Saccharomyces cerevisiae S288C: one gene and its partner. The protein of the gene in region 1 interacts with the protein of each later gene in a pairwise test. Each region holds a gene or a part of one and is shown on either strand. Other genes may lie near its edges.

Region 1 (6,430 bases):
TTGAGGCAAAACAATTGTGCCAGTAGCTTCACCATCTTCAGTTTGCACTGGTAACCCAGCCTCATCAGCCATATCATGCAGCGAATAAACATCAGGGTAGATGTTTTTGATTAGATATTTCAAAGGTAATGATTCTAAGTTGTTCAAGGCCGAGGCGCGATGGTCACTTGGGACAATACCAGATCTAAATGCCATATGCTTAGTTAAAGAATGCATTAACAATGGGAACATTCTCAAATTGGCACATAACCTCAATGGGGCCCCCCCTGCAGTGTTGGACACCACTATTTCCTTCTTGTACGTGGCTAAGATATCTTGCACGGATTTGTTGATCAATACTCTTGCATCGTCCAAACTGGAATTCAATGCTTTCTCCACCGCCTTCGAGTTGTAAAACGACGCTATAGCTAATTGGTCAGCAGATGCGTAGACTTCTGCCAACGATTCCGTGGTTGGCATAGCCAATGTTATAATTCTTATTCTACGTTGACTATTATTCAGAGATAAAAGTACCGCTACTTGAACATAACAATAGTCAGCCATAATGGATTCATCAACGTTAACTTCGAATAAGTATGATTGATCTCTTGGCATGGTGGAAAATGCACATAAATCAGATGATCTATTGAAGAAGTGACCATAGAATCTACTCATTCTCAAACCTGTGGAACCACGGGCTCTCATTACGGTTTCCATACAGAAATCCATGGAAATGTGCTTGGCAAACTCAGTGGAAAATTTGACAATATCATTTGGGTTCTTGCCTGAAAAACCAGGATAGAAATGCGTTTGACCAGCAGTGAAACGACTCAAATTCGATAGTGATGCAACGTCCATATAATCTTCAGAAGCCAAAAATAAATCGACAGTAATCTGTACTTTAGAACAATCGATGGTGAAATTCTTATAAAATGAGTCTTGACAGGAAAGTAGTTGTGCAGTTTCCTTGGATGTATTAACAACACCACTTTCATTTCTCCTTTGTAATTTTCCTATGCCTAAGTTGGGCAAAGTACCTGACACAACAATTATTTTACCACCAACGCCACCAATTAAATGATAAGCGGATTTCAAAGCGGGGCCCAGTGCGAAATTTGTGATTAAATTAGATTGGAAGATTTGAGGAATCTTGGTCAATAAAGTTTCAATGTTTTGTCTGCAGGCCTTTAAGGACACAACCATAGAGTTTGGTCTGGGCAAGAAAGGCTCTTCCAGGTCGGCAATATCCATCATGTTGATTTGATCGGCGGACTCTTCATTGTTTTCAGAATCCAATGGGATTTTAAAGTAGTGAATGGCGTTGTCTACACATAAGATGGAAATTCTGGTTCTTTCATCATGGTTTGGAATGGAATCAAGATTTTGCAAAAGGGTGTTGATGGTAGTGGCCAGTAACCCACTCTTGATAGAGGACTGGGAGACATCGATCAGGAAACAGTAAGTGGCTGGAGGTGGTTGTCTTAGAGTATATTCCTTTGGGGCCATATATTCCATCACAGCACATTTGATTTCATTTCTGTCGTATCTACTCTTTGGGTCGTTTGGATCGCTCTGGTCCATTTGCATAGGAACGTCATTGGCCAGACGACAAAAGTTACATCTCCATCTTCTGCCTTGCTCGATAAAAGTGACAAAAGGGTTCATGTAAGAACGACAACGACGACAACGGACAATAAGTCCATCTTCATTCAATGGAGGCGGGTCGATATCGTCGTACAAGTGTTGGTATGGTCTGATAACAAGCCCAAATGGAAGTTTAGACTTCTTCAGCAGGGAGCTGTTCTTAGGAACGGCGTTCAAGGTCGACCTGATATAATCTGGAGACGCATTGGACAATTCAGAAGGAACTAACATCCTTTCTGGAGGAATAACCAACGGTGGGGGAGGCAAGGTCAGATCGGTAATTGGAGGAGGCAATTCCGTCAACAGATCGATTGGATACAACTGGTTCATGGGCCTCATGTTTTGGCCCATTGCGGCGCTAGGTTGGCCATACGCAGGCGCTGCCATTGGTTGTTGCTGTTGCTGCAAAGGTGTGCCCATTTGCACGGGAACCTGTGGCTGCATATAAGCGTTAGGATCGACTAGCGGTACGTTGTGCAGATGCATATCGTTCATGGAAGTGGTGGCCTGATCAATTTGCTGGTGTAACTGTTCTTGAGCAGGGGTTAGGAATTGTTGCTGCCCCATGGAAGGGACTGCACCCTGTGGCGGCATTCCCATCTGACCATAGCTCATTCCAGCTGCAGCAGGATCCTGCGGAGGCATGAATTGTGCTGGCTGTTGTAGAGGGGTGGCATTTTGTCCATACTGGAGCTGAGCTTGTGGGTAAACACGTTTCTTGTGATGAGACATTTTGCAGATGGTCTCAGACTTATATATTTATGTCTGTTTCAATGCGGCAAAAATGGACCTGAGTGCCAGATAAAACCTTTTTGTAGTGCTATTTTTGGCCTGTTTCCTGATGTACCATCCTCCTTACATAGTTTTGTTTTTCTTCGTTTTCGTTCTTCCAGTTTTCATTTTCTTCTGCCGTAAATGGAAAAAACAAGAAAAAAAAAAAGAGAACAGCTAAGCGTTAACAAATCTGCTCCAGTGGCCATGTCCAAGACTGTTTTTCAAGCCCAGATAGTGCCTGAATAGACTGCATTAAGCTGAAAAACTTATAGCAGTGGTTAGTGCAAAATGCACACTTGTCAGTGCTATGTATATTTGTGACACGATTCTATCACCCAAACATAGCACTAATTACTTTTTTGTTACCCGGCATTCTAGGCGGAAATTTGCTGAAATTTTCCATCAATTAATTACGTAACCTATTCTTTTAAGAGCATGATGTTGTATATAAATATAGATCACCTTAGGAACAGTCAGGCTTTCTTAGGTTTCAGAAGTTCATGTGTCTTGGCGCAGTCAATTCTCTCGATCTTTTTTTGGTTTGGACGTTTAAGAGTAGCGGTCGCCGGAAAATAGAGAGAAAAAGGAAATTTAAAAGGAGTTCTTCTTTCTTCTTATTATTAGATCGTATACAGTAAAAAAAAAAAAAGGAAGTAGTAGTTCGAAGAGAAAGAAATAAATGGTAGGCTCGAAGGATATTGATCTATTCAACCTGAGAGAGAACGAGCAAATCGTTTCTCCTTGTCTTATCGTGCACGGAAAATGCAATAAGCAAAATGGTGCGAAGACCGTTCAAGTGCAGCATCCACAATTGCCTCCAATTACTTACCCCATACATAATCAGTTCTTCAAGGCCACTGTGATATTGACTCCTGGTGAGAACAAGTTGACCTTTGTTACAGACACTAACACCGCTAGGACAATCGTATGTTACTACACACCACTGACGCAGAACCCTCCCGTACACCTGTGTCTGATCTTGGCCAAGGATTCGCCTTTACAGTTTGACTCTCCTCGAGAACAGAAGGACAGAGAGGGCGGGAATGGCCTCGAATTGGCAATCAAGAAGCTAAGACTTGGGGCCAGACTCATGCAAGCGTACACGAACGAGCAAATGCTGAGAAACAGTATGGGAAATAGGACGTTTCCCTTTGTTGAAGAATTTACCTGGGACACGCTGTTCGAACGGCCTGCTATGAGAAACACCATCAAAATACATGTAGTTCGTTCGGAAAAGACGGTGAAGGAAATCCAGGACCCTGACATAGCTCAACAGAATTCCAAAGGGAAAAACACCGGCGCCCTTTTTGGGATAGCCATGGACGCCCTTAAAAGTTACGGCGGACCCTTCACCAATAACGAAAAGCCTGTTCAGGCAGCTTGTATGTTTCTAGACACCCACTGGGATGGTAAGTTGATTAGAGGCCACGCCGCATTGGGTGGGGGTGACGACAGCATTAAGCTCGCCATTTTTGGGTCGCACGGGCTTTACTCATGGCCTACTTGTCTCGAGCAATTGGTGCCTTATTTTACTGATGAGACAAGATCCTCCACCAGTGAAGTCGCCAACGACTGTAATGAGTGTGGTACTTACTGGGAATGTTTGACTATCACGTTGGGAGCATTTATGCATGAGATTGGTCACTTACTGGGTTGTCCTCATCAGGAAAGCGGTGTTATGCTAAGAGGCTATACCACTTTGAATAGGTCTTTCTTGACTAAAGAGGCTTATTCTGTAAGAACTAATTCAACTGGTGCTAGTCCTCCCATCTTCCCCAAGGAAGAATGTACCTGGAACCGTCTCGATACGGTAAGATTTTTGTACCACCCCTCTTTCACTTTACCACAGGATTATTACGATCCATCGTTCATGAGACCTACAAAATTGGGCGGATACCCCAATATAAAACACTCTGTATATCCTTTGGGTAACGGCAGTTGCCGCATATTATCGCCCACAGGAATCTATTTGATTGAAATTATATGTGATGATTTGGCCAGGGGCCATATTGAATACTTGCCGGTTTCCCTAGGTGGACAGGGGCCTCAACGGGAAGTTATAGTAACATTAGATGATTTACGTGCCAGGTTGCCCAAGAATGAACTCGCCAAGTTTGGCAATACCTTCAAATTGAAAATTCTTTCTGTTAATGCACCGGAAACCGAGTTCGACAAGTTCCCATCTTTGTTAGATGTTCAGCCATTAGACATGTCGAAATATGGGTTTTCTAAAAATGTTCAAGGTATCAAATCACCACTTTATGGTCGCAGCGACGGTGGTAATGCTGTCGGCGTCGTCGCTTTTGATGTTAGATTAGTCACTGCTGTGAGAATATACCATGGCTATGCATTAGATGGTGTGAGGTTTTATTACAAGGAAAAACCAACTGGAACAAAGGATGCTCCCGCATCCAAGCCCTCTGTACCACCAAGAAATTATTTCTCAAAAATTACACATAGTATCAAAAATCATGCTTCAATAAACGAAGAAAATCTAAAAAGTGTACTCTTTGGACATGAAACACAAAATTTTACGGATGCTACACTAGAACCGGGTGAAATAATCATTGGGTTTAATCTGAGGTGCGGAGCTTGGGTTGATGCTATCCAAATTATAACGAGTCATGGGAGAATGACCGACATGTTTGGTAACAAAGACGGAGGTGGGTTCGCTGAATTGCAGCCACCTAATGGCCAATATATCCTAGGTGTGACTGGCAGAGTCGGTCAATGGGTCGACGCCTTCGGAATTATTTACGGAGCTTTATAGTAATTAGTCAAGGTTTTTTTTTTCTTATTTTTTTCTATTTCATAACTTAGTCATATCAAAATATATCTATTAAATTATTTTCCATATATACGTAGATATTCTTCATTTGCATAATTCTTTGGGAAAAAGGAAAACAGTTATAGAAAAATATAAACAAAAAACCGCAACACTTCATGATTGCGTCGAACAATATACCTTAAAGAAGAAAAAAAAAGGTTGGTTTTATCACTTCATTAGTCTATTTGAATAATTCATAAAATATTTCTGATTTTTTTTTTTTTTTTTTTTTTTCATATTATTTTAAACGTGACTTTGGCTGCGATTCATGGTTTTTGCCCTTATATCTTCGTTGTCATTATTATCAGCATTATTAGGATAATCCTTTCCATGTAATAGAAAACTTTTATTTTTCAACATGGATAACTTTTCGTCCACTTTATCTATTTCAAAAATTTGCCTTGGTGTAGCCGCTGACTTCTTTACATTAGGTACATTAGAAGCCGCTTTATTGTTGTTAGCCAAAAGAGGATTCACGTTGTTTTGATTTGGAACAACCCTGGGACGATGTATCGAAATTGAGGTACCTCCACCATCTAAGATGTTATTAGAAGTATTAGTGGCCATAAGTGGTGCAGATAATGGTATTCTCGAATCACCATTTTCATTCTTGATGTTAAAGTTGCTCCCAATGAGAGTGGTATTATTGCTGCCAGTTTGAGCACTAACGCTATTCTTGGGTTGTTCTGATAATTCACTCTGGGATGAAGATGCAGAAGTAGGATTAGATCTTTTTCTTGACAAAAAGTCACTTGCAAAGCTGCTTCTTGCACTTGGCGGAGCTGTTGGTATAACAGAATATCTTCTTTCATTATAAACAAGGCCAACCTCCTTTACTCTGGTGGTATTCAAGTCCGTTTGTGGGACCTTAGAAAATGAATCCGATGCTTCATCATACTCCCATAATGACCAAGTGATTCCATATGGTTTTGGTTCTAGGCAATATACACAATGTAATGGGACATCCAAATTGGCAATAATACCCATACTCAAGTTCATAAAATAACCCAATAAGGCTCTTGCCACCACCCGGTGTGTAATAATAAGAACGTTATCCTCGATTCTTTCTAGTTCTGTGATAACAGGTCTGAGTCTATTAATAACGTCCATATACGATTCACCGCCAATACCAGGGTATCTGTATCTCAACTTATCTTTCTGTCTTTTTTCGAATTCTTCAGGAAAGTTGTTTTTAATTTCTGGATA
Region 2 (3,875 bases), on another chromosome or scaffold:
AAAATGGTATGTTCACCGAAGTACATTTACCGAACTACGAAAGACGTCTAAAATCTTTACAGGACTTCTTTGGATTAGCCATGTCTGATTCGAATTTACTAGATGTGATCCGATGCTCAGCGAAATTTCATAAAGATCATCCTTTAAGAAGGTTCACTAAACCAAGTATATTGACTAGATACTGGCCTTCAATTTTGTTGTGTCTTTTATATGGACCATCTTCTGTTATGTCGTTGTGGAATTCCCGGTATTTTATTCAAGATTTCATTAAGACCAATGTCGTTGACTTTGCGAAAGGGCTGATCTTGAACTGGTTATGGGCACCCCTGAAACAGGTTTGGTCTACTGTTAAGCATGACGAGGGAAGCGCCATTTCAGTGACATCACAGGAGACATTAAACTCTGACATGGATTCTCTTACCAGAATGATTGTTAGTTTTGTTGTGGATAATAGTGATTCGACGTCTAACAGCCCCATAGACCCTATTCTATTGAGTACTAAAGTCGAACATGGTGATTTGACCGAATTTATGGAAATATATGAAACACAACTACATCATCCGATAAAGAATATAGCTACGGGTGGATTAGTCAGGTCTTTATTGATTCAACTGCAAAAAACAAAAGTCGATGGATCTATGGCATTGAATGGCATTGATAAAATGCTGAAATCGCAACAGTTGGTGTTTGGAGTTGTAGCATTATCTCCGGCTTTAGTGATACTATATTCTTCTATAGTGGCGTTAAAAAGATTTGTCAAACTAGGCAATGTCTGGTCTAATGAAAAACGGTATAGGGAGCAAATAAGTATAAGTTTGAATAATGTGGAAAGAGTTTTGAATTATTCTAAACAAGGTGCGGACGCCGATGAGGAACACTTAAACCAGGGTCTACTAGTGATTGAGGTTTCTAACTTATACAAATTGGGAAGTTTTTTGATCCCGCGTTCAAGAAAGAAAGAATGGTTTAGGGACGTTGAGGAACTGGTGGATACCAATCTTGACTCCGGAGCTCATATAAATGTCGTCAACAGGATATACCACGTATATGGCAGGTTTTTAATCCATTAGCGTATAGCCTGCTGGGGAAGAAGAAAGGGAAGATATTGAATATATTCTTAATGTATTTTTTGTACAGACGTAAATATAAAGAAATCAACGCAAAATCGACGCCTTTTTACTTTTTATACTTTTTTACTAAAAAGACAGATTTTCTCGCTCATATCATAAGTGATGTACTATTATCCTCCATATACGATATATCTGTTTAAAAAAAAAGAAAAAAAAAGGTTACTTAAATTCATACTCATTAGAAAAAAATTCTAGGGATAACAACACCAAAGGTAGAACTTCGTTCAATTTATGAAAGGTTTGGCCATAATGGAGAACAAATGAATGAAGTATATAAAGAGAAAAACGACTTAAAAGATATTATTAACAATATCTGACCCAATACTAGCGCCTGCCCCAAAAATGGCGGCATTACCCAATTTGCTACCAAAGCTCTTCAAGTGGCTATGTGAGCTCTGATGTTGTTGTTGTTGTTGTTGTTGTTGGGGAGGAGGAGCTTGTTGCGGCTGTTGTTGAGGCTGCTGATAATAATTTGTGGAAGGTGGAGGAAATGGCTGCTGTTGATAAGATGATGCGGCACTATTTTGCGTGGGGATTTGTTGTAATTCTTGAGCTTTATACTGTGGAGGTGGTGGAAGATTGGATGGACCGTTAGACCCAGAGAAAGCTGGCTTGACATAGTTTGCTGGGAAAATACCGGTACGGCCATTACAGCTACCCTTGTACCACTCTGGAGATAATTTTTCTAAAAGTTGGACCTTGTCACCTGGTTTTAAGCCCAAATCACCATCTTGTTGAGGATCAAATTGATAAAGAGCTTCGACATATTCCAAGGAAGCTGGACTGGCGTTGCGGGGTGCATTGGCAGGATCCCATTTTGCCGGCAAGCTCTTATTTATTTGATCGTAAACGTCATTTGAAATGACATTTGACCCTTTTAGAAAATCCAGTTCTGTCCTAATGTTTGTTAAGGAACGATTAATCAATGAAGCAGACATTTTTGAAATATCAGATTGCCTTCTTTCCTAATGTTCTTGTGTTTGCGCCAATGTGGGCACTTTGCCTATTGTCTCAACCGATTTGAGGTTCGACTATATATGCAGCTTACAATATCCATCCCCGCCTCGAAGGAGGCTCGGTTAATCACGCTGCACGAACGAAAACAATAGTTAAAGAAACGTTTAGAACAATCTAGCGCTTTGAAGAAAGAGTATTAGGCTCTTTACGTGAAGGATGGCACATTCTCATTCAAAAGTTGCTGCTAACTTTTATCATCAAATCAGTAAACCCCTTCTTGTTTTTTCTTGACAGAAGCTTTCACATAACGGAACCAACCATGGAATAACTTAGCACCACATCGAAAAGGATTTGGACTACTGCGCAACAAAGTGGGACCCATGTAGACATAGAAAATAAACCAGATCTATAGATCGCACCTATTAAAAACCCCATAACTGTACCAGTCGTCAAGCCTTGAACGCCTCCGTATAAGACGTACATGACGAATATCCATACACTTCCAGCCTTCTTTCTATGGGTCAAGCTAGCATACACACCAGCAGTAACGTAAAATGCACCATTAAAGATCAAAGTCCAGTACAGCGAAAATTTCCAAATGTCAGATATATAGTATAAGAATGCAGTATTATACTTCGAGTTGTTGATGGGCCAGTATAATGAGGGGAATTTTGGCGTTACATATCCAACAGGTATATCGTTATTTGTTACGAATGATCTGAGCACAGGGAACATGCGACAGAGTAGTGGATGTTTTTATTGTTAGTTTTGTGCCTATTATTTTCTTAAGCCACAGGGAGCGATGCCTGCATCCAGCCGTGGCGGATATAGTCTTGGTAATGAATAACATACCTCATAATACGGCAGGAAGTTGGAACTGATCTTGTTGGCAGTTTTTATCTTATACAGAAGCGTCAAGAGTAGGAAAAGGTTTTATTATTGCATATTTATCAACTTTCAGTATGTTTCTTTTTTTCTTCGGCAATGAAAGAGAAAACAATATAATTGAAGAAAGAGGAAATAGTGTCCGAAAGAGATTCTGATATGTATTATAAAGAGAAAGACAGTTCAGTAACACAGAATCGCCATGCGTGGAGAATGGCAGGAATTTAAGACACCTGCAGGCAAAAAGTATTACTATAATAAGAACACGAAGCAGTCTCGATGGGAAAAACCTAATTTGAAGAAAGGCTCTAACCTAGAAAGCAATGCGAAAGAATCACAGACAGAGAGGAAGCCAACATTTTCATTAGAACTGGTTAATGGTTGGCACTTAATAATATACAACGATGGTACAAAACTTTACTTTAATGATGACTCTAAGGAGTTCAAAAATGACATCAGTCAAGAGGACGACAGCAGGTGTCGCTCATTAATCGAGTCGTTAGATAAGGAAAAACTGGTTCTTCTGATTGGCGTTGCCAGAGGTTACACTATGCGGGAGGAGGACATTGATAAAATCCTCGAATCTTGCAACGAAGAGATTCATCTATTTAAAAGAAATCAAGACGAAGTTGAGAGAAAAGATGAGATCAGCGAAGAGGCGGGTGACGTAAAATCCCCTTTACAGGAAAGCCACACTGGGCTAGTCAGCGGGTATGGTTCATCTTCGGGGGAGGAAGACGAAGAGGAAGACGAAGAGGAAGACGAAGAGAATGAAGAACAAATTGTAAATCAAGATATCAGCATTATCGATGATCTGAATCGTATTGATACAGATGACATTGACGAGCGTAATATCTTCTTCGAATTATTCGATAGGTATAAACTAGACAAGTTTTCCACGTG

What was found. Proteins that work in one complex are often made in the same cells at the same time.
Region 2: the proteins of YIL108W (region 1) and PIN3 interact in binary tests that used the Saccharomyces cerevisiae proteins (3 or more experiments, as listed by UniProt).

The regions. Positions count from the first base shown.
Region 1 is NC_001141.2:157,811-164,240, forward strand, and holds YIL108W (putative metalloendopeptidase), read left to right. Parts: upstream 1-3,076; coding exon 3,077-5,167; downstream 5,168-6,430. Other genes in the region: COPII subunit SEC24, read right to left, coding at 1-2,355; PFK26 (6-phosphofructo-2-kinase), read right to left, coding at 5,468-6,430.
Region 2 is NC_001148.4:832,758-836,632, reverse strand, and holds PIN3 (Pin3p), read right to left. Parts: upstream 2,069-3,875; coding exon 1,421-2,068; downstream 1-1,420. Other genes in the region: NCA2 (Nca2p), read left to right, coding at 1-1,070; MAY24 (May24p), read right to left, coding at 2,388-2,805, 2,940-2,944; URN1 (Urn1p), read left to right, coding at 3,175-3,875.